Linked DNA regions of Drosophila melanogaster. The protein of the gene in region 2 interacts with the protein of the main gene of each other region in a pairwise test. Each region holds a gene or a part of one and is shown on either strand. Other genes may lie near its edges.

Region 1 (10,443 bases), on a different chromosome or scaffold from region 2:
TCTGTGCAATACCTTTCTGCAGGGACTGGCATTCCTGCAGTGGTCCTTGGAACTGACTCTTCGATCCCTCCGATGCTCGACGCACTGGACTATAACGTCCTATTGTCGCTAAATGACAGGCAACAGGAAAAAAAGAAAGGAGAATCGAGAATGTGAACCTTTTTGTTGCAACCCCATAACTTATAAAATAGTTTTAACAAGGATTTTATTTATGGTTCACAAAGGTTATGTTTGGAAGCGAAAACATATATGTTATGATATGTTACACACGTAACATATCAACTAACAAAAAAAATTATGTTATGTATGTTAATTATTTAAAGGAAAATGAACACGAAATGTACCTAAAGTGAGTAGATGTATTGGTTATTGGTTATTTTATTGTTTGAACACTTTGCTTAACTCCAGGATGACCCAACAAAGAAAACTCAAGACTTACCACCCTCCTGGACGGTGGGCAACTTCGAGTGGACCACCCGATGGATTCGCCGATTATTGGGCGCCACCAGTGGCACAGAGCCACCGGCGGCCGCCACCAAGGGCAGCGAGTGCGGCGGCGATAGGCCCTTGGACATACCCATGGGCAGAGCCGCGCCCACCGGGTAGGTGCCATTGGGGGGCGATTGACTGAGAGATTTCAGGGTGGGAGGTAGATAGTCACGTTTCATGCGAGACTCAACCTCGCGAATTATCTCGGGTGGAATCACTATCGGTTGTGGTCGGATTAGGTAGTGGGGATTTTTAAGCAGCGAGATCGGGAGCGGTAGCGGTTGTAGTTGTTGTTGTTGTTGTTGTTGTGCAGTAGCGGGCAATGCAAAATTATCAATTGCAATAAACCAAAAATGTTTACATAAAAAGAAAGTTTAAAAAGGCAAACCATCAAATTAATACAGTAATCAAATTATAATTAAATACATGTGTACAAAATGAACATGTGAGCACATATCTTATATAAACACTTAATAATACACTATATCTCTGATTTAAGGCTATATATAGAGCAGCATGCAGTTTAAATTTTTAAGCCAAATTTAAATTATAATCTTAATTTTCCTATTAAAATGGCATCCTATATTCCACATATTCAGAATGATTCGATATTGCATATTTTATAATATTTTAGTTAGCCTCTCTAACGCACCTGGCGGTCTCTCGGTGACCGTGAGCAATCCTGTTCGCCGCTGCCGCATATTGGAGGAGGTAGTTGGCGCCTGGGACTGTGATCCTGCTCCTGATCCATGTGCTACGGATAGATCCTCCGTGCAGCCCACCGTATGGCGCTGGGTGCCTCCACGCTTTTGCATATAGCTACAAAGAATTGAATGTTATCATGTTCCTAAGAAGGAAATATAGATTCAAGTCAACCTTTGCAGCTCCTCGTTGCATTCGCCGGTGGCATTCTCCTGGCAGCATTGCATCTGCGCCACCGACTGTTCGTTGAGCGGCGACAGCTCCTGCACTGCCAAAGGATCTGTGCCGCAATTCGGATTGATATAGTACCCGGCCGTGTCCATTTGCTGACCCTGAGCTGGACCCACAACGGTGCCCGTGGCGGGATAGTAGATGTGAAGATTTGCCCCGCCGTCTGAGGCACGACGCCCAAATGAGCCTAGAAAAATAGATGCCACATTAATGTTGTAAATGAACACTTCTGTCATATTGGCAAATACTCACTGGCTCCCATAACAACGGGCGGCTTGAGCAAATGCTGATCCTTGATGGTGAGGTTGTGCAGGGGTTGGTTCTGCAGCATGGGCAGATTAACTGGATAGTAGGGAACTGGCTGAGTGGGATCGCTGCACTGCGGTGGACACTTGAAGTCGATGGGCGGCACATTGGGATTAGCCAGCGCCTGCTCGTGGGCCACATCGCCGGGTCCCACTGTATGGCGTCTGGTATTCGCACCATTGACACCTCCACCAGCGTGTGCACTCAAATGCTGCGCATTAACAGGGGGCTGAAAAAAATAATCCACGTTGTTATCGAAAGTTTCAAGAGAATCATTTAATGCTCACATCATTTGATCGCGCCAGGCATTCCAGCTCAAAATCACCATATTTCTCCAGATCCACGGCGACATCGGACCAGCCAAAGCCCAAAGCTGAGCTGGAGGCATTGGCATTGCTCAACGGACTGAGTCGGTCCAGAGATTCCTGCTTGACGGGCTCCGAGCGATCCACCACGCCCGTCGTGATGCTCGTCTTACGTGATCGGGAGTAGGCTAGGCTGGCGTGGTGCTGCAGTCTTTGGTTTTCGCGTCGCCTTTGCTGCAGCTTGTCATGCAGCAGGTTGTAAATGGCGTAGATGTTGTCGAATCTCTGCTCGTGCACCGACTGTGCTATCATGTCGGCGGTCAGTCCGGGCAATTGGAGCATATGCGTCATTACCACAGAGTCCAGTTGCGGCGGTGAATCCGACGCACTTCCCAGCGAGGATGTGGACGCCGATTTGGACACTGTTCCCGAGCCGGGGGACATGTCACCGAAACGTTCCTGCTCCTGCATCTCTGACTGCCACTCGCTGAGCCAGCGGTGCTTGATGATTTGTTTGATAGTGTATCGCCGATCAGGCTCCACCACCAGCATGTTCCGTATTAGCTGCTCGCATTCTGTGTAACATAAGTTTTGGTTTAAGATATGTTCTTTCATACTACCATTTAGAGCTCACCTTGCGACATAAAGAAGGGAATGCGAAATTTGCCCAACACCACGCGACTTTTCAGTTCCAGGATAGTCTTTCCATCGAAAGGTAATGCTCCACAAACCAAGGCGTACAGCACAACGCCCAAACTCCAGATATCCGACTTGGGTCCATCGTATTCCAAGCCTTGGAAAACCTCTGGAGCGGCATAGGGCGGTGATCCACACCAAGTTTTTAAGGTGGCACCCTCTTCATAGTGATTACTAAAGCCAAAGTCGGCAAGCTGAAAGGCAAAGAAAGAAACTCAATTCAAAATTCTACTAGAATGGTAATTATATTATCATACCTTGATGTTCATGTCCTTGTCGAGAAGGACATTCTCGGCCTTGAGATCGCGATGCACCACCCCGCGCCGGTGGCAGTAGTGAACGGCCGAGACGAGTTGGGTGAAGACACGTGCCGCCTCCGGCTCCTTCATCCTGCCATTGGCCACCAGATGGTCGAAGATCTCCCCGTTTGGCGCGTACTCGGTGACCAGATAGATCATCGACTGCGACTCCATCACCTCGTACAATCGCGTGATGTGTGGATGCCGCAGCGATTTAAGGATCGCTATCTCGCGGAACGTCTTGTTCAGGTACTCCTCGTTCAGACATGTTTTGTCTATGATCTTGATGGCCACCTGCAAAATATGTCGCGAGAAAACAGGAACAAGATTTTAGCCAAAAAATACATATCATTCTTCGACCGACTGTTTGTCGCCTTGCTGGTTTGTTTGGCCCAGGTGAACGAACGTTTGCGGTGGAGCAAGTAAATGGGGAGAAATGTGATTTCAAAAGCGTACGAGCATCAGAGAAAGAGACCCCAAAAATCAAGATGTGTGGGTTGCACACACAAAACCAACAAAAAAGTGTCTCGCATGGCTAACACAACAGTGGTAAGAGAAAAACTTTGTTACTATGGTATAAAAAAGCCAAAAGGAAGATGGTCTAAAATGAGGGGCAAGGTCAACCATCTTATGTCCCTTTTGATAAATACATAATTGCTATTTCGACAGATTATGGTTAATATTTTTGAGAAAAATGTATTAAATTTGTATTCTCACAACCAAAGTTGGGTACTTTTGCTATTATTTAACCCTTTTAAGTGGCTTTTTCTTATAGTGTCAGACCACTGTAGGTATTTCTGTTACCAGGCGTCTTTGTGGGTGGCTTGGTGGCGCACAGTCTGCAGTGTCAGCATAAACGGTGGCTACACACAATGACAGCGCCATACATGGTGCGCGTGTTCGGATCTCGGGATCTCTACGGATATGTGAGTATGAGATATGGATGGATGGATGGATGATGAGTGCGGAGCGGCGGCGATGGCGGCAGACAAGACAAAAACATTCTTTGCTCACGACTTTCTGTTCGCAGACGACGACGACGAAATTGCCGTTGCCGTGGCCGACTGTTTATTTGCTTTTGTGTATTCGCGAAACATTTTAAAAATTTATCACAATGTTAAATAATTAACAACACAAGTGAGCGCACACTCACTCAGTCGCGCCGTCTCTTTCTCCTCAGCTGTTGCTCTCTCGCTCGACGACAATGAGCTAAAGCATCATCATCGCCACCGGTTTCTTTAAACTTTTTTTTTTTTTGCTTTTTTGTTATTGTTTGCTCAACATTTAAGCGAATTCCTGCTGCTTCCTGAGTACTTATTTCTTTAATATATTCAGCATTTTATGAAAATTTGTCAAAATATAAAAAAAAAGAGAAGCAGGGAATCTTTTCAATCAATTCAAACACACTTTTGTGAAAATTCCACCGCGAGAGAGTAGAACTTGAACTTGAGACAATGCAATGCAATGCAAACTATTTGTTTATAATAAAGACAAAGAGCGCTCTCGCTGCCGGGCAATGCGGCGTATGCGTAATGTCTGTTGAGCGAATTAGACGATGGCCGGCGAAATCGAGATGAGTGTCATACTTTTACATAATTGCATGAAACAAATGCTGATTCTGCACTGATATTACGTCCTATAAATCGCCAATGCCACGTGAGCCGGTTTTGAACTTCAGCCAACAACGGGAAACAAGGAAAAACCAAAGGCTTGGGGGGGGGGGGGGTAGGGCTGAAAAAAAAGTATGGAAAAAACAGAAATGCCATTGCCACGTGCCGTTTGACCTTTCCCCATTGGTCGCCCGGCGAATGCGATGAACCTCAAGCTCGGCGCTCGCAAATGAGACATTTCAAAATAATCGCAACCAGAAATACACCAACAACAAGTATAGCAGTCGTGGCAGAAAATACCAGTGTCGCCTCCGTTTGGGAATCCTTCAGCCGAAGGCGAAAAAAGTCGCATCAAAAGGTCCTATTGATTTAAAAGGCAAGCAGCTCAAGGCAAGGTCTAAAATGTTGTTGATTACGAGTGTCGCCCATTAAATAAGGGCCCTGAAACAATGTCAAGAATTTCAGCAATATTTGTCTGCAAATCGCAATGCATGGCCATCGAGAAAAGCATTTGCTCCGTAATACTTTTTCAAAACTAATGGTATTTGCATTTAAATTGGATTGGATAATACTTTGTAGGTATATCTACTTTTGAAACTATTCCACTTGATTTAAAGATATTTCTTTATTGTTTTGCAAGCCTATTCAAGTTATAGAACAAATACAAATTTTTGGGATATTATCTATGTGAAAAAGTGAAAAAAAAACTAATCCAAAAGTTGCTGTATATTAATCTACATGCTACCTTTCCACAACAGCTTATTTTCAATTTCCATTTTAGCGTACTGCTCCCTCAGTTCTTCGAGTTCCTTTGAGTTCCTAGCAGCCAAGCGATACAATTGGGCATTTAGGCCAACGATTCTTTCCCTTAGAGCATTCACTGTATATTGGCTAAGACGTTCTGGCCGAAAGACATCCTCCTTAACGGTGGCCACAAAATGCCACATATCCTGAAGCTCTCCACGCTTTTCGCTGCTATATAGCTTAAGTTTTTCATGGAGCACAAGTTTCTCCTGTTCGATTTCGTTGATCAGACCTATTAGATCTGCCGTGGAGGAACTGTTGGGTCGTGGATTTCGACCAGTTTCCGGCTCTTGGCAAGACTCGGTCTTTGAATCTGTGCCCTCATCATCTTTGAGTATGAAATTATTGGGATTCAGCTTGACTTGATTGCATTCGAGATATTTTTGCTGCGCCTTCAGGCGCGTCAATTCACACAGAATGGCGGTAGGTGTTAGTTTTGCCGCCCTGATCTTGGGCGGAATTTTAACTTGATTCCGTTTACGAGCGGGTTTTTCCGGCGGTTGAGCCCTTGGAGCCGTTGGCTTTTGTTCATCGTCTTTTGGATTTTCCATTGGGGCTTCGGTAGCATGTGATTGTTGCACAACATCCAAGGAGAGAGTCGTTGCAACTTCTGCAGCGCTCGTTTGGTTGTTCTTATTTACACGCGGTAATCAAACGTGTTGCCAGCACACCCAACCACCCACCCACTCCTTCCACGTGTTTAATCGATATGCAACCTTTCCACCCCCCTCGATTTTTCCGGCTGCTGTGCCAACAATTCTATGCTTCTGCCGGGGGTCAGTAAACTTTATTTGGCTTGGCTGGATTTTACAATTTTCCAAACGGCAGCGGTAACTTTCAGTGGAAATGGAAAATCGATTAGTACAATTACTGTTTCCATGTCATGGCCTACTTAATTGCCCATGGAAATGGGACAAACGGGGTCGTGGCTTGAAGACCACTTTCGTGGCTAACTAATTTCTAATCAGTACTTGTGGGAGACCGGGAAAATCCACCTGCTAGCCAAAAACTCAAGTGACGATCAAATGTTTGGCGAGCTAATCAAGTTTCAATGGACTAACAAAAGTATAAAGTAAAAGTAGGAAATACAACAGTGAGCCTTGCTTTAGTGGAACTAATATATTAAATCACAATCTACAATCAATGAAATCAAAGCTAAGAAGGTTTATATATTATGCAAAAATGTTCGTTATATTTAAGATTCACTGTTAACTAACGAAATTCGTTTATATTTAAATTGCCTTTTTTTTTTATGTACGGCTAAAATTGCTGGAATTACAAAAGTGCTTGGTATGGAAGTTTGACTGTTTGTGCGGATGAAATGTTGATTTATTATTTGTTTTGCTATCGCCTGCAAAGTCAAATCGGGCAGCATTAACTTGGCGCGTGCTGTTTGTCTTCTGTCTCCCTCCCACCCACCAGCCACAACCCACTTGCGCCCACACCACCCACTCCGCTGTGCGACAGAGACAGAGAGCGAACGCACGTGACTGATTTGCGAATTTACTTTTCTTGCGATGACAAAACATCGTGGATGAAAAATCAGCAGAAGAAGCAACTCCACTGATAGCATTTGTGCTTATCATTGGAATGTATGTATGTATGCGTATTTTTTTTTTTTGCTGCAGATAGCATAGTTTTGTTAGTATCAAAAGCATACAAATATGAACGTGGAAATGCAAAGGAAAGGCAAAAGGTCGACCTTAGATTTAGTGCGCATAATTTTTTGGGTTTTGTAAACACACACACACACAGTAGAAATATGATAAAAACCGCAGACACACGAATGGTGAGCTGCAAAAAGCCGCGAAATTGTTAATAAAAAGGTAAATAAAAATTGTTAAACGATTTCAGCCACCCATCTCGCTCGCTCATCATCTCCGTCCCGCTTGCACTCGCTTCTTTTCGGTCTGACGCGTGTTAGATGTTCAAACATGTTTTCGGTCTGCTGGCCAAAAGGCAACGCTCAGACGGCAGCTTAAATATTTGCCCATAGCGAAAGATCAATCAACAAATGTGAGCGAGACGGTGTGAATTGACCAGAAAGAGACGGGTAGAGCATAGGGCTGCACAGAGAGAAATAATATCGACATATAAATAATGAAATGTATAGTAGCATACAGTTTAAACAGTTTAAAAACTCACATTTGCAATGCGGTTTTTCATCTTAACTTGGAATGAAATTTAAAAAATATTTTATTTAAGTTCCCCTGCTTTTCTCTATGTAAAAACAAACACGAGTGGTATATAGAGTGTCTACGCTGCATGGCTGGTGCTTAATTGCATCAATTGGAGCATTAAAACAGTTGCCAAGGCAACTACAGAAAAATTCAATTAAACTAAAACTTGCCAATTGAGTGCAAACACATTCCGCACACAAAGAAAGTAAACTGAAATTCAATTTGAAAAACGGCACATGAAAGCGATCAAGAGAGCGTAGAACTCTAAACAAAGAAAGAAATCAATTAATACTATTTATATTGGCTAAGAAATGATAAAACTGTTTATTTCAGAGTCATTTCCCCCGCAGATTTTCACTAGAGGAAATCATGTAAGCTAGGCTATGATTTGCTTTTACGATACGCTGATCAAAGTACGTATCGCACACTTTCTTATCGATGGGTTCTGCAGTTCCTTCGGTTTAAACAAATAATCATAATTCGAATGTGTGTGTGTGTACCCACAGTTGTGTGTACAAGTGAACTTTTGCCATTTTTCCATTGATAATAGTGAATTATTGGCAAAATGCGCTTAGGAGCGATAAGCCATGGGCTCTAAGGCCATACACCATACGTAAATAAATTCATTTGTATTCAGATCCTAACGTACTCATGTTTTACCAACGCACAGATATAGCTATACTATATAGAATGAGTACACATATTGAGTGGACATGGCAGAAATAAGATAAGTGGCCACCATTGGACCTTGAAGTTGTCGAACAGCTGTGCGCTCTTATCAGGGGTAACAAAATTTCGTTACAGTCAACAAACAATTCGCCAGATCGAGGGAAGCTGATTCGATTTGTTTATCTATCTGCTTTGATGTGCCACACTGACCGACTGTTTCGAGAAATATGGCATACTATAGTCGCACTGAGCGATAATTTGACATTCAAAGTTATATATACCATTAGTGAGTACCACAATTGTTAGTTTTGGCCCACTAAATGTCACAGCATTAATCATTCAATCAGACTATAACGATCGATTTCGCCAGAGGCACGTGCTCATCACAAATTCCTCAACGCTGTCAATTATGCAAAAATTGATTGTTTGCTCTATAAATTTGCATGCTCTTTTGTGTTCGCTTCTGTTTTCATTGCCTGTAGTAGGTACATTTCACTTGACAATCCCAATTAACAAGTGTCACAGCTGTTCCCGTTGTGTTAGCACTTCGTCGGATGATTCCACCCGCAATGGATGCTAAAGATTTAAAAAAAATATAAGATGCAGGTGAGTCAATCGCTTAGATGCGACAGGTAAGGAAAGACGCTTAATTGTTATTTAGCCGGCTCATCAACTTCGGTTGACTTTATATAGCAGGAAATTCTCGGTGGGAAAAGACGATAACAAATGCATGTATCATCGACAAAAAAAAAAACAAAAGAGACAAAATCAAATTACTTCCTCATAAGGAACTGCCACACTCACATGGCAGTAAGGTAATAAACAACACTCACACTTTTGAGACGCTTTACAAATGCGATTCAATTAGCATCTACCGATTTCCACCTCCGGATTCACATTCCCCCCCGCCACCCTTTTTTCAAGCCATTGTCAATTGAAGGCAAACAAAAAGCCAAGCAACCGAAACAGAATCAGTAAGACCGAGATGCCGAAAACGAAACGAAACTCCTGATTGTCAATAAGTTGTGTAAATAATTATTGTACACATATTTACGCGGCAATAAACAAAATCATCAAAGAGCAACAACAACTAAAATCAATTCGATCAGCTCAAATGCGCAAAAAGCGCGTATGAATATGCTCAGATTTAAAAAGGCATTCAATTTACATGTGCCATAGAAGCGTTAGATAGATACAAATACTAAGACTTATAATCAAAAATCTTTGTTAATTAATAAAATTATTGTGGAGCAGGAACCAGAAATAACAAGAATTTTACACAAATTGTTTCGACAATTCGGAGATTTTCCTAAAGTATCTAAACCCCAGCAATTTGTATCAGTACGTGTATCTATTGATTCGAAGTAGAACTTAAAGATCTTTCACCCATACAGATCATAACCAATCTTTAAGCCGATGTCAGTTGCCAAGATTAGTCAGTTAATCAGTTGAGGTATTTGCATGGAAACTCACCTTTGTCTTGGTCACAATGTTGGTAGCCAGCTTGACCACTGCAAAGTTGCCCTTGCCGATGGTCTTCTCCAGCTCATAGTAGCCGACCCGGAGGAGCTTGTCCACGGATATCTTGCTGGTCGATGGCACCTTGTAGTTCTGCGGCGTTGAGGACGTTGGAGGAGCTGCTGCTGGCCCAGCCGTTGGTGTGGTGGCCATCGTCGCAGCTGCGTCGGTGTATTCCCTTTTTCTCTTTTTGCCGTAGGAGGATGAGGATTCTTGCGGATGCGTAATTGGCTTTTCGCGCACAGGAAATTCACTTAATATGCATTTTCTTTTGTCGCGCAGTTCAAACGCGAACGCGAGAGTTCATTTGCTGGCGGCGAGACTAACAAACCGGAGAATGGTGAACCGGAGAATTGAGAATGGAGAACGGAGAATTGGGATGACGGGATGCGGGAAACTGGTTGGGGATCCGGGAGTTTGGAGACGGGGGAGCCGCCGCCAGCAACAGTGGATTGTGTGAGTTGTGTAGAGTTTGCGCGGACTCTAAAATATTCACTTAACTCGATTAAGAGGTCAATGGCAGCTTCTCGTTCGGACTTTCCAGCGGATTCTCGGCGGGCAGTGGGCCATGCCCACCAGGCAACTCCAATGCTCACTTTGTTCTTTAGTTTTTTTTTTTTTATTTATTGAAGCG
Region 2 (11,092 bases):
TCCGCATCCGCATCCAAGGGCCATCCGCCATGTCACCCTCGGCTGGGGATAATGAACTTTTTTGGCCAGCCGAGCGTGCCGTTGGGTTTTTGAGTCTGCGGCCTGTCCGCCCGTTGCCGCATCCACATCCACATCCACATCCCCATCTCCATACACAGCCACCTCAGCCTCAATTAGCTTATTGTCCTTGTCATTGTCAGCTGGAAAATGGCATCCGAGCAGGGGCGGTGTGGAGGACGGGGTGGCCACTGGATGTCTCTGGGTGGCCCTTGGCCTCGCAAAATCCACAAGGAGCTCGCCAAGGTGTTAAGCCAGCTGAGCCGGGTGCCCCCAGCATCGAATCCTTACCTCTGTCGGGCCTTTCGCCGCTCCATTCCCCTCAAGCCTCTGGCTTAATTCCAGCCAGCTTTTCTGGCCAAACCGGACGAGTCTTAATCAAGCGAGATGCCCTCATGTGATCTGGATCTCGCCGTGTAATGAGAATAGCATATCTATTGTAGTACTTTAGAACTAACTGACAATTTCATTAAATTTCACCATATTTATCATCTCTGCTGTGAGCTTTTCACTTAATGGAGCGTAGGAGTTGTTCGTTGAGGATGCTTAGGATCAGGAGCTACAGAAATCCTCGTTAATAGGAGTAAATGGAAATTACAGCCAACCAGTGGGCAGGTCAGGGAGGAGCGTGGAGCGGTCTTTGGTAATTGTTAAAAAGCAAAGCAAATGTTATTGCCGAACAAACAGCACTGGAAGCCGAAATCCATTCAAATCGCACAACTAGCTTGCCTCTAATCCGAGCCACAAATAAGGCGTGTGCAGAGGGTAGGGGACGTGGCAGGGGCGTAGGGGGGGGGGGTTCCTTTGTTTGGCACACACATGCGGAATCCATAGAAGCTATGGCTGAGCCTGGCCAGAAAAGGTACCCGTGCTCGTAGTCAAGGACCCGTTCCGTTCCGTTTCGTTTCGATTCGATTCGAATGTTTCGAAATTCACAAATGTACACTACGAAAAATATTCTTTTTCAACAATTCTCGTTGTTTTCAAATGTTATAAACTTACAGGTTCTCTTTATGTAAACCACTTTGCTATTTATCAAGACACATTTCCAGGACTAAAGTAATACAACTTCAGATAAACTAGTATTTAGTACTAAAATTTTTGTAAGTTAACCATCCAAATATTTGTAGTCAAGTGTGGCGACCTTGTTGGGTCTTGAACTTAGACATTAACATTGACTAGAAAACAAGAATATAACTAGAGCAGGTTTCGCACTTCAGTTTACCGCTGAGAAACTGAGAATTCGCCTAAGTTGGATTCACATGACATCGCCAGTGATGACACCACCGCCCACTGGGCCGCCCTCATGCTGGTGATGATGCAGTTGCTCCACGAGATCAGCGATTCCTTCCACGCCTATGCTCAAAGAGGGCAGCGACTTGTCCAGCACCAAAAGAGAGGGAGGCGACTTGGGCTCACCCTCTTCCATGCCAAAGGAGGACATGCCAATCCCGTCCAGGCACAGTTCATTGGATGATCCGACCAGCTGGGAGTGACCGCCGTAGGCCTGCATCTGGGACTGCTCCATGCTCAGAATGCAGTCCGCCTTGAAGCTGTCGATCGTGAACTGGTCCACGTCCACGCTGAGAAACTTCATCTCGTCGTAGGCGGAGGAGCCATCGGTCATGTCCAAACTCAATGAGGCGGCAAACTCAAGCCCCGGATGAAGCTGGGGATTGTGCTGCTCCTGCTGGTGCTGCTGCTGCTGCTGCTGGTGATGACTCGAACTCCCGGCGTGAATCGGATCGGATGCATGCTGTTGAGGCGGGTGCTGCTGGAGCTGATTGTCGGAGTCCATCTGCGGGTGTGTCTGCGCTTGCGTTTGCGGAGGATATGTGGACCACTCCATGGAGAGGCCACTGCCACCCCGCTCCAGTCCCAAGTGGTCAATGTTGAGGTTGAGAAATATATTCGGTGACAGCCTAGAGGGCGACATGGCCCCCGTGCCGTAGGAGGCCTTAAGTTCGTTATCAAGGGAGTTCGAGGATTGCGGTGGGGTGTCCGGCAATAGAGTTCCACCGCCGCCTGAAATCAATATGGGTCATTACTAGCGATGGGTTGATAGGTAACAGAGATATCCTTTCTTACCCAGCGCACTATCCAGTTGGCCCAGGACGGCGCTGTCGTCGTAGGACACGTCGAGATCCAACGCACCCTCCTTATAATCTCCGCCAAGCCCACCGATCTTCTCCTGCTTGCGCCACTTGGCCCGCCGGTTCTGGAACCACACCTGCACCCTCGCCTCCGTCAAATCGATCCTCACGGCCAGCTCCTCTCGGAAAAACACGTCCGGATAGTGTGTCCGCTGGAACGCCCTTTCCAGCTCCTGCAGTTGCAGTGTGTTAAATGTGGTTCTGCGGATCATTAGGAAAACTAGTGTTAGTGCACCTATAGCTTTAGTAGATACTTATGAAACTAGTCCAGTTTTTGGATTTATACCGCGATATATGTACATTTCGAATGTATCTGCTATACCTGTATCTCCGCTGCTTGCGCTTCATTGTGCCTTTGTCCATGCGAATCCTGAGCTTCCTGTTGGTGAACGTTGACGTTGGCGGAGTGGGTGGCGAGTAGTGGCCACTGAGGTGTGGATCCCGCTCAATCTCAATATCTCCCTCAGCGAGGATGGGGCTCTTCAAGCGCGTCGTGACATAGTCGCCGTGTGTTTTTCTATTTTTTAACGATTTTCGTCGACACTTCGAGGGCTTCGCGTCGCTGCTTCTTCTCGCTTTTCCGCTTCGACAAATTCCACGGCGGAAAAACTGCACAACAACAACGGCGAAAGCACGGATGAAGTCTTTGGAGACAGGCAGCTGCGGAGCTCAGCATAAGTCGCCCACCAGCGGAATCTGCATCTCCTCCGCTCCTGGTTTTTTATTCTGATTCCGATTCCAAGTCCCGACTTCCCTTGCTCGAACCTATGTAGCTGCTGATGGCTAAGCGATGTCAGATTGTCCAGCTGTGCATGTCCAACCTTGTGGCACGGGCACTGTTCTTGCCTCGACGACGCGAATTCGACTGAGGAGGATTTTGGATTTCCACGGGGAACAGTGACAGTGCGTGCTGTCCGTCGACAGAAGCCGTAGAAGTCGACCACAGTCCACTGGCACTCGCACACTCGCGGGCTCCCTACGAACAGGGGTATATACTATGTGCCTAAGAGGTCTGACCCGGTCTAGCCTCTTGGACAGTCGTTCTAGCCGGGCTTGTTATGCCAGTGGCGGTGCTCCTCACCCAAACTGGCCCAAGTGGGAGACATAGTGAGCTCATAATTTATGGCAACTCATGGTGCCTTCGGAGGATGTGCATAGCTGGAAAATGTTTAAGAATTCTACATAAGACTATAAACCACTATTTTTACCATTCATCTGCCTTTGCACATTATAAAAACAATATTCTTTAAACAAGACCATGAAACGGAAATGTCATCCATTTGGGGGAAATCCGACAAGTAAAATACAATCGGAATTGCATTTCCCACAGCTCCTCACTCAAAAGTATGCTATGGAAAAAGTTTCGGAGCCGTTTCGGAAACCAAAAATCCAGAAACCCACCCTGGTCAACGTTATCGATGGGAGGAGATCGGATTGCCCTTTGCCTCTGCACACATGTCTGGGTCAGTGGGCTTCTTTTGGCTACTCCCACCGCCCAAAGTTCTCCACCTCTGCCGGCACTTGAGGCCTTAAAGCCATTTCCCCCATTGAAGCATTGAAAGCAGCAGAGGAGTATAAATAGCCGAGGGACTCAACCCCATCAGCCGGGCCACTTGAGCTTGGCATGGCTTGCCATTGTTGTGGTGTCAACTGTGGAGTCCATTGTTCCATCCTGTCCAGGTGACGAACCGTAATGGATGCTGCTGCTCTCATCTCTGGCACAAAAGGTAATCCGAGAGGCGGCTTTTGTCCTAAATGGATATAAAAGTATGGCGACTCCTTGGCCAGAGCTGCAGAAGGAGTACAGCGCTGGTCAGGCACAGATCGAGCATGATGCCGTGGGTAAGTTTCATCTGGATGAGAGCCGAAAGATATAGAAACGAAATTACAAAGGAGGGCGCACAAGGATATACTCCGAACTGAATTCATTTTAAAACCCTTCCGTTCCAAGTTGCCCATTTCCATTATGGCAATGGCGCTGCTTAGCCTGACAAATAAAGGAATCGCCAGTCAGTACGCCAGCGATGAAGGTTTGGACGAGATGGTGGGTCTAAGGAGTCTGGAACACCGCGCGGAGGAGCAGCAGCCCGATCGCAGTACATCGAAAATGCTCAGTGCCCTATTCGGATTCAGTCCCAGCACTCCACATCCCACAGAGATGGCGATGGTCATGCCCCATCAGCTGCCGCCCATGTACTATAACGATTTCTATGAGGATCTGGTGACCACCAAACGCAATGATGTCCATTCCGCAGGCTGCGACTGCAAAGTTACGGTTCGTTGGGATACCATTCAGCCGCGTCAGATGTTTATAATTATTTTGTTATTCCCAGAATGAGCTCGTGGATCTGGGTGGTCTGCACTTCCCTCGCTTTCTGATGAATGCCGTTTGCGAATCGGGCGCTGGTCGGGATCTGGCCAAGTGCTCGCATGGATCCAATTGCAGGCCACTGGAATATAAGGTAAAGGTCCTGGCACAGACCTCTCAGTCCGATCACCCCTATTCGTGGATGAACAAGGATCAACCTTGGCAGTTCAAAACGGTCACCGTAACTGCCGGCTGCTTCTGCACAAAGTGATTGAAAGGATGTGAGCAACTATCGTGAATGTGAATTAATTGTATATTAAAGCGCCAAAAAGACGTCAAAGTTGCTTTATTGTGGGAGAGATTCGATATGAAACAGATTGTTATTTTTAAGGCATTCTTTTGATTCTTATATGTAGCTTAATGTTCATGTTTGAGCTTTCTCTTAGATAATTTGTCTAGGATATGTCGTGGATGCAATTCGTATTCATCAGCAAAATTCGAAATAAAGCAATAATCAAAATAGCTCTTGTTGTCATTGATGCACGAGTATAAAAACTGTCCCATAAACGTAAAAAATCTAAAAAACTTGAATCCAGAGAAACAATTTTGTTACAAATAAAATGTAAAGTATTAGAAAAGAAACTTCGCTTCGCAAGGCATCAGGATAGTAAATGGCATTACTTCCCAACTGAGTCAAGGCACTTTGACGGTGTAGTTTTAAATGGAGTGTGGAATCTACTTAGCTTATGGACGGCTTCGTTTAAATAATACAAAAAGCGAAATGTGCTTGGTATAGCAAAGGCTCTTGAGGCTAAGAGCGTGGAATGAGCCAAGATCCAAGTCCTAATAGTGCGGTGAGCAGGGTTAAACAGACACCATAGCCTTGTCTTGAAGGAGCGCCACTCTGTAACAATTCCGATTAGTTGGTAGTCCCAGTTAAATGTACTATCTACCCACAATGACAAAGTAGTTGCACCGATCTCCCTTGCAGCACTCGTTGCACGCCCAATCCTCGTACCAGATGTGGGTGCAGTACAGCTGCATATAGCGCTTCCTCTTGGACTGGCACTGCTCCTTGGTCATGCACCTCTTGGACACGTAGTATTGCTTAAGAGCACCCTCCGAGAAGTACGGCTGGGATCCCCAGCGGATCTCCGTTCCGCAGACGTTTTCAAAGGGCTCGCAGGTCTTGATGGTGTTCAGGCACTTCTCCGTGTTGCCCGTCTGGTTGGAGCAGACATAGCACTCCAGACCGGCCACGAAATTTACTAAAAATATGTTATTTATTCGAGAGGTTCTAAATATTTTAAAGGTGTGGCCCAAAGTCGGGCTTCAAAAATGAAACTTACCTTGCGAACACAAGTAAACAGCGGCGACTAGCACCACAGCTATCTCCCACGATTTCATCGTATATCTGGAGTAATTAACGCAATCGGAGCCGATAAGCTCAAAGTAAATAAACAAGTCAAATTAACAAACAAAACCACTCCCAAAAAAACATTAGCAACAAATTAGAAGAACGCGCGTTCTGCAACACCAACTTCAAGGCGCTTTGCAGCACTAAACATGGCCAAGTGCTGCCACCTGTGGCGCTTGCTTATTAATAACTTTTAAGTGGATAAATAATTGAGAGACACGTTGTTTGAAATATTTATAAACCAAAAAGAATTAATAATAATTTTTTTAACGTACCTAGCTAATAGTTCATTGTCGCCTTGAAATGATTGCATCTTGCTAACATGTTCCCGCCAAAAAGGCCAGACCCTGGCGGGTAGCCAGCCGGTTAGTCATCACTGGTTCAGAGCGGTAAGTGCGCGCTACGTTTTCTGTGCGACATTTGCAAAGGCAATCCGATTGCCGCCTTCAGAGGTGCTGCTCCTGGACCAGACTACTGGACTACTACCGCGCCGTCATGGCCAAGAGTGATCAGGAGCTTCCCGAGGGATTTCGCCAGCTAAAGACACAGGTTGCGGGTCACACATTCGAGGAAAGCAACGCGGAGGCAGTGGGTCTTCTGCAGGACTCGAAGGCGGGATGCGTACTGAAGCCTCTGGGGAAGCCGGAGTGCGGCGAACGGGAGCTGCGCTTCTATGAGTCACTCGCAGAGGCAGGTGCTTCAGGTGATAATGACCTCCTGGCGCTGCTCCGCGGTCACGTCCCCCGGTTTTACGGCCCCCTAAAACTGGTTGTGAATCGGCGCGAGCGCACGTTCCTGCGCCTGGAAGACCTCACGCGATCGTACGCAAAGCCGTGCGTCATGGACGTGAAGATGGGTAAACGAACTTGGGATCCAGAGTCCTCGCCCAACAAACGAAAGGTTGAGGAGGCCAAGTACGTTATGTGCAAGCAAAAGCTGGGCCTTTGCTTGCCGGGATTCCAAGTGTACCTTCCCAAGGAGGAGCACACTCAGGAGACCACAATCCTGCGCCACGGGAAGGACTACGGGAAGAGCTTGAATGTGGAGGGATTCAAGCAAACTATGGCCCTGTTTTTCAATGCCAGCACAAGTGATTCCAAGAGCAGGAGAGCGGGCTGTGAGTTGCTTTTGAAGGAAGTACTCCGCCAGCTGCAGGAGATCCTAGCGTGGTTTCAACGGCAGCGCCTGCTGCATTTCTATGCCAGTTCTTTGCTCATCTGCTACGACTATTCAAGACTGGCTGATCCCCCAAAGCCGTTGATAAACGGCTACCACCAAAATGATGATGACCCCGCCACTTGGGTGCGGGTCAAAATGATCGACTTTGCTCATGTTTACCCGGCAGAACAGGGCTTGCCGGACGAGAACTACATGTTCGGTCTCCAGAGCCTGATAGAAGTCGTCCAATCAATACTCCACCGATGATGATCAAAGCGGACCAAGACCACTCAAAGATGTAGTAGAAGTTCCAATCTCATTGCAATGAGACACTTTTGTATTATCGTCTAAGCCAAATGATTAGTCCACAGTAGATACCCATCCGTTTAAGGAACACGGGCGGAGCTACTCTAAACGTAGAATAAAACCAGATTTTTTAGAAATTGTGTATGTACTTCAAATCGAATTTGTGAATGGGAATGAGAGGTGCGAGATGGGACTATGATGATGACTCATTGCGAGGCAATTATTTCCCATGAAATGATTCCACGGATATGAGAAATGGATGCGCATTGGCATGATTCGTCTTTCTGTAATATTACTTCATATACAAACAAACAATAAATCTATCTTATCTGTTTAAAGATAATAGAAGTCGTCATGCGATTACGATTAGAGATTATTCATGTAATAATTGAAGATCCAATGATTTTCTGTATTTTACGGCAGGAAAGATCAATTAAGAACAAATGGTTTGAATAGTTTGGATTTATATATTGGTATCTTAGAGAATCCTACCACTAGCAGATAAGCTATTACAATTTATAGCGTGTAGTCCAACTCGTACCGCTCGTACTGGTTCTTGGGATCATTAGTAATCCGCGGATAGCCGGCGATCAGAGCGTCCTGACCTCCAATGTACAGCGAATTGTAGATCTTCCAGTAAACGTCTCTCACTTTGCGAGCGGGGTGGAAAAGTCCCTGTAGCGTATATTGCAGGATCTTAATGGGTCCCAGGGACACCCTTAAACCGTCCACGGAATCCATGAAGGCTTGCACGAGATGGGGGGACGTCTCAAAAATGTTGGGCCACACGTAGTTGAGAAGATGGGTCAAAGCATCCTCGCAGCCGAAACCATACACTCCCAGTGACATATGCTTGATGGCAGAGCAGGCGGTTTGCCGGTGGACTAGATCTCGGTCCATGAGGGCATCTTCCAGAAGTGGACAGACGGCGTATATGTAATCCTTGCCCATTTCTCCGATGTATTCAAACAGGAAAGAGAGTGACTTCAACACACCATTCTGAACGTTGAGCTCGGGCACTCGGTACTCGTTCATCAGAGCAGGGAGCACGGTAAAAGGTCGACAAGACTCGGCCACGATGGCAATGGCCACTGTGGTGCACACGCGGTTCTGACGCTCCTGAACCTTGAGATTATTCAGTAGTGTAGCAAGCACGTCGTGGGGACCAATGGCTTTGGCAATGTAGCCAAAGGTGTTCACAGTGGCTCTCCTAATCGCCTTCTTGTGGGCCTTGAGCAACTCCAGTAGCTCAAAACAAATTCGCATCCACTCGCGAGCGGACACATACTCAGGTCCGCGATCTGCAATTCGTCCCACCAGGTCAATGCAGTTCTCTTGCACCTTCTCGTGACGATTCTTTAGGATGGGTGTAAGACGAGGCAGCAAATCCTTGATAGGAGGTGTCATCTTGGTCATTCCAATCACGTTTACGATGGCCTTCAGGGCACCCAGGATGCTACCCAACACTTCGGGATACTCCTCACCCAAGTACTCGTAAAGCACAACGCCCAAGTGTCCCATCAGCTTCTCCTCCTGGCACGTTTTCATCACTACCGCTATTCTCGAGATCAGATCCGCCGCCTGCTGACGAACTTTCGCGGATTTGTTGTTCAACCGCCATAGAATCGTTCCACAAATCTGGGGCAAATAGGGCTTAACTCGCTTGCCCAGCTGATTCACGATGGTGCCGAATCCATTCAACATCACCACATCCTCAGTGGTCTGCTCTTGGAAGGCATAGAGAATACCATCGATAAGCTGCTCCTCCAAGCGCGAATCGATATCTGCTGCTCCTAGGTTGCCCATGATCTTCTCCACTGTTTCCATCACCATCTTCCTGTACTGCTCGTTCTCATCCTTCAGGTCATCCACCACACGATTGATAATCTCAGAGGCGCCCACCTTGTTGGCAATCTCCACGGTGGTGTCCACCAGCTGGCGGTAGTTACGCCTGTCCAGGGCCATGCGGTGATTCCAGAAGAACTTGAAAAAGTGCGGAAGAATCTCCTCTTTGATGTACTGCGGTTCCACACCATCGGTGGCGCAACATTGCTTCACCACCTTTAGTACAATCTTTTTCATTTCCTCATCTGGAGACTGGAACTCGCGGATAAGAATCAACATCACTTCACGCGTATAGTAATTAGCGTACTCGGCGTCCATCAGGGGAATCAAATAGCCAATAGCCTTGAGGAAGGCGGCCAGACCTTTGCCGCGATGCGTGCGAATACCCTTCCAAAGCGGCTTTAGCACGGAATCGAAGGATTCAATGCCGTACGGAGTGGCTGCCTCTGCCAAGGCAGCAATGGCCAAGGCTGTAATTGTGCGTACCTTCTGCTGCTCGTCCACTAGTCCGTGCTCGATAATCTCCACGAGAGCTTTAAGATGCGGCAATATAGCACATCCCATCAGGATGGCAATTTGCTGGACAATTTTGATGCCAGTGTGCCGCGCTTGCCAGGATTTCTTCGACTTGCAAACGGCTTTTAGGAAGGGCAGTAAAGAGGGAATTCCCAAAGCTGAAGCGACCACGGCAAAGGCACGCGCTGTGGTGTTTCGTACATACTCGTCGATGTTGTCAATGTCCGGTCTCATAGTAGAGATCATGGTGGCCAAACCAGCGGCCTTGGCCAGGTTGGATATGATTTCTCTGCCTTCTATGCGAGCGTAGTGATCTTCATCAATCAGCAGCGGTTCTATGACCACCAAAATCTTGTGCACATAGGGCCGCACCAAATCGTCCAGTTTGTATAAAACACGATCAATTACCTTCACTAATAAATGACGCTCTTGGTCCTCCAATGTGGGCGACATAAGCAACGGAAGAATCTGGTTAAACAAAGGTCCTGCTCCGAATTCCCTTGCTTTGTCCGTAATCTGCCTCAAGGCCGACTTTCTCATTGGTGGCGAGCCGTTCTTGATGGTCAGCAGTAGCTTCATTATCTTGCGCTCCTTGAGTTCCTCAGGCGACAGAGAGTCTTCGTTCACGTCTACAAGTAGCTTGTCAAAATATTGCGCATCCTCTGGTTTCATGAAGGGGAGATTTTGCCCCTTTGGTTGGTTATCCATGAATTTGGCATTCTTGTCCTCCACTTGGATGAAGAAACCGGCTGGGGTGCCAGCAATTGGCGTAGGCGTGGCCATCAGCTTTCTGCCGGGAGTGCGCAGTGGAACATAGCCAGCTGGTGGCGGTAGAATTTTGTAACCAGGCGGAAAGATTTGGTCCAACTCTTCGTCTGTGTATGGCCTGTTTCTCTCGTCGATTTCCTTTTCCCAGCGATAGGCTTGCAATTGCTCTGGTGTCATCGCAGCCAGAGCTCCCGCAGAGGGCGTGGCCATGGCCATTGCCTTGACTCCGATAGGAGTACTGCCTCCGGGCGTCAGCATGGGAGTAGCATGTCCCGGAGTCACATGTGGCGTCATACTGGGAGTCATATTTGGAGTCATGGCACTCGCATTTGTAGGAGTAATAGCCGGCGTAGCATTCGAGGGCGTTTCATCCCAACGAGAGCGACGTTTGGAGGCCCCGGGGGTGGACTCGATTGATATGCTCTCCGCGCCGCCTCCACTGCCTGTGCGATCTGGCTTTGGAGTCTCGGCCCATCCGCTGTGTCCGGGAGTCTCACGCTCTGTTTTCGGGGTTTCGTCCCAGCGATTTCGACGGGCCGACTTCTCGTGTCCAGGAGTCTCGTG
Region 3 (11,092 bases), on a different chromosome or scaffold from region 2:
AGGAGAAAATCCGCACCATCCAATGTTAATAATATCATGGACTATAACCGATTCGAACGGATCACTGGACATAACCAACTATATAGGCGCACAAACTGCAACAATTTACAAAGAACTGGGAAAAATACGAACTGCAACGACAAGAATGATCCATATCATCGACTTAAATCATATATAAGCAACTCGAAACAAACTCAGATTTCATATAGAACAGGACCTAAAATTAAGCAGTCATTACAAATAGAAAAAGTCATTGAAATGAAAAAGCCCCCCAATATCAACGACATACTATTCTTCTGATGCACAAGCGCAAATTTGAGGGGAAGAAGCTGAAAAACTATGCGAAAACCAACGAATAAGCTTTTCTCCGACATCCGACATATTAACTTATATATTTCGGGCGTTATTGCACTGTTTTTTTGTGAAATAACACCCACGAAAATTGTAAAATAAGATTCGCGGGCATTATTTCATTTTCTTTTTTTTTTTTTTTTTGTAATAATGGCGGCGTTCGAAAATTGTGGCGGAGGACGAGGGGAAAATTGGGGCAGGGACAGGGACGTTAAGTACTTAATGACATTTTAAAATAAATATTAAATTTATGACAAAACGTAATTACCGGCCAGAAGGAGGCGTGGACAGCAACAGCTACAGGTTCGTTCGCGGCGCATGAAATATGAAACCATAATTACTTTAATTAAGCAAATATTTTGCGCCCGCAATTCTTTTCATTATCTGGGATGGAGAGGGGCGCGCGGGCCATTGATTGAGAGTATTTATTAAATGGTTATTATTGTTCGAACATCGTACGGCAATAAATTGATGCATTTTAATTATCGCTTAAAAGGCCGACACATTCCTTACACAACTTCGCTGACACTTCGAAATCGAGGACAGATCGAGACTTAAAAATCAATCAGATGTGTATTTATCTGCAAAATCTTCGCTTTTAAGCATAATATAATTTATATAATATAATATAGTTTAGTTATTCATTTGGAGCTGACGGAAATGGAAAGATCAACTCGGCTATTCAATCTGAACAAAAATATAGAATATAATATATATGTACCTTATACGGTCGGAAACGCTTCAAACTACCCATTTTTTAGCAAACCTTGTTTTTACTTTTCAACGCTGGTTTTTATAAGAGGAAAAACACCTATGGTTGAGAAATCATAAACACGATCGTTCGTCAATCATTTTACTTGTAACTTGATCTATTGTCGTGTCAAGTTTAACAGTGAATTGGGTAAAAATCATTGTATATATTGTGCAACGGGGTAGATAAAACAATGTATTGTAACAAACTCGAATTTGGATGCCACAAAAGCATGAGTTTCTTACTTAACTTTACTTACTTCTTAGTTCATTTGATGGTATATTAATAGCAATATTATAACGGCTAGAACGATGAAAGCGTTCACTGCAATTATCAATTTGTTGCTATTCGCGAATGTCATCATCTTGCACTTTTAATTTAATTGCGGAGGACAAAGCACGTCGTTCGGTTTCAAGTTCACGGGAACGAATGATCGATCGCGTTGCAAGACCGAGCATTCCACATTACGTGGAGAGAGAGAGAGAGAGAAATAGTGGGACCGGATAAATGGAAAGTGCTTTCCCTGCAATGAAATAGCAGTGCGAGGGAAACAAGCAGTGTATGCTATTCTTAAATGTAAAAATCACGAAATGATCAAATATTTTTTAAAAAGTCTGTTTGCTTAAGGTAATTCCTATATTTAAAAGGGCAATAAATTAAAAAAAATTAAATTAATTAATTAATTAATTTTAGTGGGAAGAGGACAGCACTGCTTCCAGGGGAAAAAAATATTAATTCTTAAGCTAAGAAAGGAAGGAAAAACATATAGGACATTCAAAAAACCCTTGAATGTTTTGCCCAAATGGTAAGCCATTAAATATGAATGGAAGCTCGGAAGCCGTAGTGCCATACATAAATCCAGAGATATAGCAATTCTCCAAAATTTGCCAGGACCTGGTGGACTCCATGCCGCGTAGGTGAAAGGCAGTGCTGGCTAACAAAGGAAATCCAACCAAGTATTAGACCCTAATTAATGTATTTAAAGGAAAAACTAAGTTAGTTCTAGATCAAGTTGAATTTTGTTACTATTTGTTCGTACCACTGCTATATCAGTGAACTCTAGAATTACTGCCTTTTATGTTGTTTTAATCTATATTTTTGAAACTATTAAAGAAAAAGTGATGTATTTGTTGAATTTTTTGAAATGATATTATTAAAAAAATTTGCCCATTAAAACTGTAAATCATAGGAATTTTTATCTTAAACTCGCAGGTCCCAAGCACTGCTATTTTTATGAACACAGTTGTATAATCGCCACACATGAACTAATAACTATTAAATAAGAAACTGGGCAAATAAACAAAGGAAATATTCAGTTTAAGCTATGTATGTTACTTGTTGAATTTTATCGAGACTTCAAAAGAGCACAAAAGGAAATGCGATAATCTATCTAAAATCGGATTAGACAGCATTTATAGAATGGTAGATTGGTGGATGCTTATGTTATCTTTATATGTAACACCAATATATCTTTGCTCTCTTGTTAGGTTTTCAATCTTATCAGTAGTTTACATGAGCAATCAAAAATAAAAATGCATTTTTTGTATATAAAACGTCAAATATCTTGTATTCAAATTAAATGTTACATGATCGTTAATTTGTTTAGCATTTTCGTCCACATACATCTTCAATCGACTAGTTCGCTCCATCTCAACACATTAAAGTTCAGATTTCCCAAATATACAAATTTGGGTCCTTTAAAGCACCTGGTCTCAACTCGAATGGCAAAGTCCGTTCCTGGTGGCAAGTCGAACGAATTGTGAGGATCTTCGTCTCCGCTAATTAGGTCCTTCAGGTAATCAATTAGAAACTGCGGACCTTCCACTATAAACTTTATAAACATTCGAGGAGTGCGCTTGGCTTTTGAATTTGGCTGAATACTGTAGGTGTACAAAGTGCCTTCCAAGCCCCTCTGTCCACTGAAAGAAATATATGATTTGATTAATCTGCGAACATAGATATGCATTAAATACGACTATTACCCATAGTTCTGATTGCTCTTCTCGTGGAAGAGCAGCTCGGCCAGAATGGAAATGAAGTAGATGCGTCGTTGGGACTCCACAGTATTGAAGCTGGCCTTTGCCTCTCCAATGACACCGATGAATGTGTTGCTCAATTCGACCTCCACGTTCCAGTGCCAAATGGTCTTACCGAATCCCAGGATTCTAAAATTTCGAAATTGCTGCAGAGATATGTGCACAGCTCACAACACGGTAGACTCAAGGAGCAAAGGACTTAACTCACTCGCAATAGGCCGAAAATTGCCATTGTGTAATGGAGGCGCTTAAGCTTCAGTCTCTCAGCACTGAATACGTTGAACGTTCGCTCATTGAGGAACAGGAAATGGGCAAGGAACTTGCCCAGATGGTCAGCTTCGTTATAAAAAACAGCCTCCTTAGAGTGGAAGTGCAGCAGACTGATGGCTACGTCGGATTCACTGTCTTCGTCGGAAAAGTAGCTAATTGTCGTGCGCAGGACCTGCGAAAGGCGGTTGGATCATCTATTGATGTTGTTGAACTAGCCCACCTGCAGCATGATCCTTTTCGCGCTACTCTGCTCCTTCTCCGAGGTTCCTTCCGAATGGGCCACCTCGTAGGCCTTGTGATGATGCAATATGTACGCCGTGCTGATTTGCTTCAGTTCCTCCGAAGTTTCCCGCAGCAACTTGTGGTGATATAGGTCCAAATGGCCCATGACCATATGCAGCACCTCAGCCGGCAAGTCCTGCAATCGAATTCGTTTATCCACTTGAGCCTCCTCCATTCGACTGGCCACGGATTTGTGAATATATGCGTAAAAAGATATGTACTAAAGAGTTGTATAAAAATTCTATGTAGACAGGCAACAAATGTTGCGTGCTAGCTGGAAATTTGTATGTAAAACACCTACTGCGCTCGGTTTACATTTATTTTTTTATTATACTTTTGAGAAAATTATGCAATTTGCTCTTTGATGTTTGTCTTTGGTTATACACTGTGTCGGTATAGTGAGCCTTCTCATGACGGACCTTTCGCACCTAGTGCAGCATCGTCAATATTGTTTAGAAAGAAATGCATCTTTGGATCCTCATTCAACACGGAGCCATCCACACCCAACGGTCGTCAATACTGGCACATACAACTGTGTTCATAAAAATAGCAGTGCCCGGGTTGGATTGCCTTTGTTAGCCAGCACTGCATTTCACCTACGCGGCATGGAGTCCACCAGGTCCTGGCAAATTTTGGAGAATTGATATATCTGTGGTTTATGTATGGCACTACGTTTTTCAGGCTTCCATTCATATTTAATGGCATCGGATACTCGGGCAGAACACTTAAGGGTTTTTTTAATGTCCTTATATGATTTTCCTTCCTTTCTTAGCTTAAGAATTAACATTATTTTCTTTTGGAAGCAGTACTGTTCTCTACCCACTAAAATGTAATTTTTTAATTTTTTTTTAAATTTATTGCCCTTTTAAATGTACGAATTAACTTAAACAAATACACTTTTTAAAAAATATTTGATCATTTCATTACTTTTACATTGGGCAAAACCAGACACTACTATTCTTATGAACAGCCTAAAAGTTGTAAATTTGCTCAAGAATGTAAATAAAGAAGGATAACATGAAAAACTAACGGGATTTTCTTGTTTTTCCTATCTACACATTACATTTAACAAAAATAAGTGGAATAAAAAGTCGATCCCGTTACGTAATTGAGTAAAAAAAGTACTTTTGAACTTCAGTAATTAATTTCCTTTGGAACGATCTTTTTAAGTTTGTTTCTAAACCAAGGTTCGCGTCTGCACTAAACGTTCCTTACGTTTTTACATACCAAAATGACTTATCCATAAAGTGCTATAATATTCATTAAAAAAAACGTGACCGTTGGTATTTAAAATGTATGTCGGTATTATTTAACCTTTCAGAGAGTTCCACTATTTTACTAAACAGCTTGGCACTAACTGAAGAGAGCATGATTGCTTCTGGTCTATAGCATTGTTCTCCTGCAATCGGGCCCAATTCGATTAACATTCATAAGAGCTTTGGGTAAGATATGCAAATCTTATTTATTTTTATTCAATTTTATGAAAATATATTTAAAAAGGGTATTTAAAATTCACTACTTAAAAATTTATTTCTGTTTTCAAACTATGGTATTTATTAATAGACCGGTCGGTATTTTCCATTGTTTTCGACGCGGTCACACTTAGTAATAAGAAATTTCTTACGCTTATTATTTCACCATTTCATTTGCGAAATCCGAGAGAAATTCAAAAGAAACCGGGTGTGCGTGGCGGCGAATTTCGGTGTCAGTTCGAAAAATCCATTATTTCCGTACCAAAATTGTGTCAGTGTGAGAGGCTTGGAGGCGGTGGCCACGCAATCCGGGCGACCGATCGTTGGGTAACCTAGCGCGAGAACCGAAAAACCGCCGTAGTCATGGCGTTCCGGCTGCTTGGCACGGCCAAAACGATGGCCGGAATGATGCGGCGCAACTACACGGCGGGTTCCTTGCCGGGAAAGGTGCCCACATCCCTCACTTACAAGGCTAGCCAAGTTTTTAATGCCCCCTCCTTTTTTTTTTGCAGGGACAACGCACACACATGGGTGCCACGGGCGCCGGGGTTTACATCCTGCCCACGGAGCTGTCGCCCCTGCTGCGCTACGTGGTCAAACAGATCCAGCTGCTGTGCAAAAAGCCGCCGAAGGGATTTGAAAAGTATTTCGAAGCCGGCGGCAAGTCGTCTGGCCAACCGAAGGGATCCGTCGGCGATAAGAAGCCACCCGCGGGTTCCAGCAAATCCGCCTCGGAGAAGCCCAGCACATCGACACCCGCCTCAGTTAAACCCAGCAGATCCCAAACAGACGCGAAATCGGACTGGAACTTCGGCATGTTCAGCAACAGCTCGAGGGGGCCAGCAGGAAAAGGAGGCAACTCGCTGGGCGGACGACCTCTGGGCGAGAACGGTGGCGGCGGGGACAGGGAGCGGTGGATCCTTCTGGGTGCCATCGGAGCCGTCGTCCTGGTGGGTTCGTTCGCCTTCTTCGAGATGGGCTACAAGGAGATCTCGTGGAAGGAGTTCGTCAACAGGTGAGTTCTAGCATTGCGTGTTGCATAAGAGTTCGATCAAAACATGTGAAACTAGAAGCTGTGGAATATATACATAATTCCATGGATCTAGATCTTTCGCCTGTTGTGATACGACTGCAATTCTCACTATTATATTTATCTCTATTTCCCAAAAACAGCTACCTGTCGAAGGGCGTCGTGGAGAAGCTGGAGGTGGTTAACAAGAAGTGGGTGAGAGTGCGTCTGCAGCAGAACAGCAACAGCGGCAGCGGCGTCTTGTGGTTCAACATCGGCAGTGTCGATAGCTTCGAGCGAAACCTGGAGGCAGCCCAGACGGAGCAGGGAACGGAATCCATCAACTTTGTGCCCGTAATCTACCGCAACGAGGTGGAGGCCGCCAGTCTGACGGGTCTGCTGCCCACGTTGCTCATCATAGGCTTTCTGGTCTATATGATGCGGAAGTCGGCCGATATGATGGGTGGAGGCCGTGGGCGCAAGGGTGGTGGTCTTTTTGGTGGCGTCATGCAGTCCACCGCAAAGCTAACCAATCCCAATGAGATTGGTGTGGGTTTCAAGTAAGTTGGCGAGACTTCACAGTACATACCTAATACCTTTTATATTCTTTACAGGGATGTTGCCGGTTGCGAGGAGGCCAAAATCGAAATCATGGAGTTCGTTAACTTCCTGAAGAACCCGCAGCAGTATATTGATTTAGGCGCCAAGATACCGAAGGGTGCCATGCTAACTGGCCCACCCGGAACGGGTAAAACGCTACTGGCCAAGGCTACCGCCGGCGAGGCGAATGTACCGTTTATTACCGTGTCGGGATCCGAGTTCCTCGAGATGTTTGTGGGCGTGGGACCTTCTCGTGTCCGCGACATGTTCGCCATGGCCCGAAAGCATGCTCCCTGCATCCTCTTCATCGACGAAATCGATGCTGTGGGTCGCAAACGTGGTGGCAAGACCTTCGGTGGCCACTCGGAGCAAGAGAATACCCTTAACCAGCTTCTGGTGGAAATGGATGGCTTCAATACCACTACGAATGTGGTCGTACTGGCCGCCACTAATCGTGTTGATATTCTGGACAAGGCTCTCATGCGACCAGGTCGTTTCGATCGACAGATTTATGTACCAGCACCTGATATTAAGGGCAGGGCGAGCATCTTTAAGGTGCATCTGGGTAACCTGAAAACGTCGCTGGACAAGAACGAGCTGAGCAGAAAAATGGCTGCACTGACACCAGGCTTCACAGGCGCTGACATCGCGAATGTTTGCAACGAAGCTGCTTTGATTGCCGCCCGCGACTCCAAGGATTCGATCGTACTCAAGCACTTCGAGCAGGCCATTGAGCGTGTTATCGCTGGCATGGAGAAGAAGACCAATGTTCTGGCGCCGGAGGAAAAGCGAACGGTGGCACACCACGAGGCTGGCCATGCGGTGGCCGGTTGGTTCCTGGAGCACGCAGATCCCCTGCTGAAGGTCTCGATTATACCACGCGGCAAGGGTCTGGGCTACGCCCAGTATCTGCCCAAGGATCACTACTTGCTGTCCAAGGAGCAGTTGTTCGATCGCATGTGCATGACGCTCGGCGGACGTGTGGCCGAAGAGCTGTTCTTTAATCGCATTACCACTGGTGCTCAGGATGATCTAAAGAAGATCACCGATATTGCCTACTCCCAGGTGGTGCGTTTCGGCATGAACGAGAAGGTCGGGCAGGTCAGCTTCGATGTGGGCCAGGCCGGTGATCCCGTTTTCAGCAAACCATACTCGGAGGACACAGCGCAGCTGATCGACAACGAGGTGAGGTCGATTATCAAATGTGCCCACGAGGCCACCACTAGTCTGCTGACCAAGCACAAGGAGAATGTTCAAAAAGTGGCGGAAAGACTGCTCCAAAACGAAGTGCTCAGCCGTGATGATATGATTGAGCTGCTGGGCCCACGACCCTTCAAAGAGAAGTCAACCTACGAGGAGTTCGTCGAGGGTACCGGCTCCTTCGAGGAGGACACCACTCTGCCCGAAGGCCTCAAGAGCTGGAACAAGGAAAAGGAACGAACGGAGCCTCTGGACGCTGGCAGCACGCCATCATCGCCGCCCACCAAGCCCGTAACTGCCCAGAGCAGTTAGGCAACGATCTTCGCTCATGTGGATGGGGAGTTTTGGTGTGGTAGTTCGAGGGTGCCGACATCTGTTTGTTTTTGTTGTAATCCCTAAACGCGGACCGGAGAAAACCCCGACATGTGGCAGATCGAGAAGGCAGGGCTCAAGGAGTTCCTAGACCTTCTGGAGTTACAGTTCTCCACGACGCGTTCATTATTGTTTTTGCATAATTTTAAGATACCCACATGGATAACTTGTTCCCGTGTTGAGCAATTAAGTGCTAGCCTGTACTAAATTCCCCGTATGCGTAGTTTCAAAATGGCAATAAAGAATGGAAATGACCTGTCAGTGTGGAAAAGCGAAATTAAACGATGTTATCAAGGCGAAAAATAATCGAATCAGTGTTGTTACTGCCTTACGGTTTAAACCCGTTTTCGAAAACAGCAAAAGTTGCAAAATACATACAATGTATTGCTTCATTATGTATATTTCATACAATAAAATGTTATGATAACATTGGAATGCAAAATTTGTTCTTAACTTTGGGATAGCCAGCTTTATTCTTAAGTTGACTGATAGTGCCAGGTTAAAATTTTTTTCAGTGTGAGCTTTTAAAGCTGCACGCGGTTTAAGAGAGTGCCGCTCTCTTCGGTAAGCTTTCTCCGCAAACTTTCGCCGGCTACTCTTCCTCGCTGCGGCTTATCACTTATCAGCTGTGATGCTGAAGTACATGCGCCATGTGCAGCCGGTAAATAGTGCAACTGCCGCAGTCGGCGCCTCTGCCGGTGCAAAGCTCCGTAGGGGCAGCACCAGCGGCAACAACAACAGCAGCAACAGCAGCGAAGGCAGAGAGTGCAGCAGTGCAGTCGACGTCGCTGCCGCCGGTCGTTTTGGGGCCGTCAGTTGGGTTTTGGGGTCTCGCCGCTCAGTGTCGTCTTGTTGGTTGTCGCGTTCGTGTGCGCGCACTGAGAAAAGCGGAACGCCAGCGTTGCACTAACCGTTGCAGTTTCTATATTACTCTCGAGTCGCCCGATTTCAGAGCTGTTCGTACCGCTCGTGGGAGTGCGTGCGTTTTAACCAAAACAACTACCAAATCGCGTACAAGATACCAAACCAATATAACCGAGAGGCCCGAAAGGAAAACCCCTGCTGTGGAGGGCATTTTGCATTTTGTTTACCTCGATGGCTGTGTGGAGTGCAATTTGACGATTATATAATATAAAATACAAAATACAAAAAATAGGGAAAACGAGTAACAGTGCGCGGCATTCGATTTTAATTGCAATCAACTACAATAACCGCTGAAGTAGAGGAGTTAAAGCGCAAACCTCTCCCTCGCACCCCCGCCCTCCCTCTCACTCACACTCACTAACACATTGCGTTTGTGTTGATCTTTCCTGCAAAATGGCTGCCGGCCGGCAAAATAACGGCAACATCCATACTTGATCGATAGAAAGAGAGCGGCAGAGAATCCCTAGCGATTTCATGTTTGATTTATTGGATTTTATTTTTCCTGAGACTTTCCTTTAGGCTTCTTGTTTGATTTCTTAGAAAATTAAAATTATGTATTTATGACAAATGGTGACCATTAGGATGAACAGAACAAGGAGGAGAATTTAATGCTAATGTTTATTTATTTTGTCAAGAAAATTATATTTAAATTTGTTTTGCCATTTGCATTTATTCTGCTTTAAGATAGGAAGCAAAATATCTCTTATCAATTAGTGTAAAATCAATCAACAAACACGTGTATTACATAAAATTTAAATTTGATTAATATTTTCGTTCCTTTTATTAGAGATCTTCGTTGTGATCACTTTTATAAAATGGCTGACATCGGTAACGGTAACTTCGATTACTGATCAATCGAGCGCCCCCTGTCGGCGATTCTCTTAGCTCTGTTTTAGTTTATCGTTTATTTTGTTTTATTTTGTGCTGCCAATTGTCGCAATTGCAATTGTCGGGTCACGTGTTTGTTGCTGCCGCCAGTTAACTTCTGCTCTCGTTGTAACGGTGCATGTTCCCTGTGCGGGTGTGTGTGTGCTGATGTACGATTGTGTGTGTGCGTGTCTGTTCGTGAAAGCTTGCATGCTGCGCGTTATTATATTGTTGCTGGCGTTGTTGTAATTTTTGTTGAGGGAGTCACTGCATGCAATGTTCTTCTTGCCCTTTCGCACCTCCCTATCTATCTATCTCTGTCTTTTTCTATTATTTGTTGTTGCTTTTACTGCTGTTGTGGGTGTGGGAAAAATCAAGGCGCGTATTAAGCACAGAAAATGCAAAAAAGAACACACACAAAATATAGGAAAGCGAATAATTTCGGAGAGAAAGCAACGGAAAATAATTGCTTTAACAAGCAAAAGTTCAAAGCTATAAAATTTGGATGCCAGCATTTTTGAATTTCCGAAAAATTGTTCGGGAAACCAAGGTGTTTCTGGCGTAAAAAAAAGTGTCACTTAAAACCTTTTTAATGTTAAAAATCGTTCAGATTATTTAACAACGATGGGAATTTATGAAATTAGTAGAGAGCTTTTTACTAAATATTTGGAATTTTATAATTATTACACAAGCTCACAATAAGTAAACACGTATACTTATAATTTTTGAAAAACATTTGGATCTTTAACCTTTTATATTTAGTTTTCTTAATTTTTTATGAGACGCCTATTCTAAGAAAATTAATTTGATGGCTCATGCCATATGTGTAAAGTGAGTCAAATTTATTTCAAACAAAGATCTTTTACAGTCTTAGTACCGCATCCCAATTGTCACTCAGCCGTTACTTAACCGCCCCCCTTTTCCCACCCGTTCCTCACCTGGCTTTTCCACGGTTTTC

The links.
Region 1: the proteins of Ipk2 (region 2) and CG15071 interact in a two-hybrid assay, tested with the Drosophila melanogaster proteins (one large-scale study listed by BioGRID).
Region 3: the proteins of Ipk2 (region 2) and Afg3l2 interact in a two-hybrid assay, tested with the Drosophila melanogaster proteins (one large-scale study listed by BioGRID).

What each region holds. Positions count from the first base shown.
Region 1 is NT_033778.4:18,692,184-18,702,626, reverse strand, and holds CG15071 (uncharacterized protein), read right to left. Parts: upstream 6,043-10,443; 5' UTR 5,994-6,042; coding exon 5,373-5,993; 3' UTR 5,282-5,372; downstream 1-5,281. Other genes in the region: Sik3 (Salt-inducible kinase 3), read right to left, coding at 1-108, 440-706, 1,142-1,308, 1,366-1,609, 1,675-1,957, 2,016-2,608, 2,668-2,923, 2,987-3,322 and 1 more.
Region 2 is NT_033779.5:569,474-580,565, reverse strand, and holds Ipk2 (inositol phosphate kinase 2), read left to right. Parts: upstream 1-6,301; 5' UTR 6,302-6,430; coding exon 6,431-7,360; 3' UTR 7,361-7,533; downstream 7,534-11,092. Other genes in the region: Pph13 (PvuII-PstI homology 13), read right to left, coding at 1,316-2,082, 2,146-2,411, 2,533-2,573; Ptth (prothoracicotropic hormone), read left to right, coding at 3,966-4,052, 4,162-4,485, 4,544-4,789; cold (coiled), read right to left, coding at 5,330-5,422, 5,476-5,786, 5,868-5,925; Sf3b1 (splicing factor 3b subunit 1), read right to left, coding at 7,916-11,092.
Region 3 is NT_037436.4:17,236,302-17,247,393, reverse strand, and holds Afg3l2 (AFG3 like matrix AAA peptidase subunit 2), read left to right. Parts: upstream 1-5,265; 5' UTR 5,266-5,525; coding exon 5,526-5,609; intron 5,610-5,674; coding exon 5,675-6,177; intron 6,178-6,335; coding exon 6,336-6,731; intron 6,732-6,785; coding exon 6,786-8,283; 3' UTR 8,284-8,647; downstream 8,648-11,092. Other genes in the region: CG7707 (uncharacterized protein), read right to left, coding at 2,730-3,021, 3,085-3,284, 3,347-3,580, 3,629-3,865.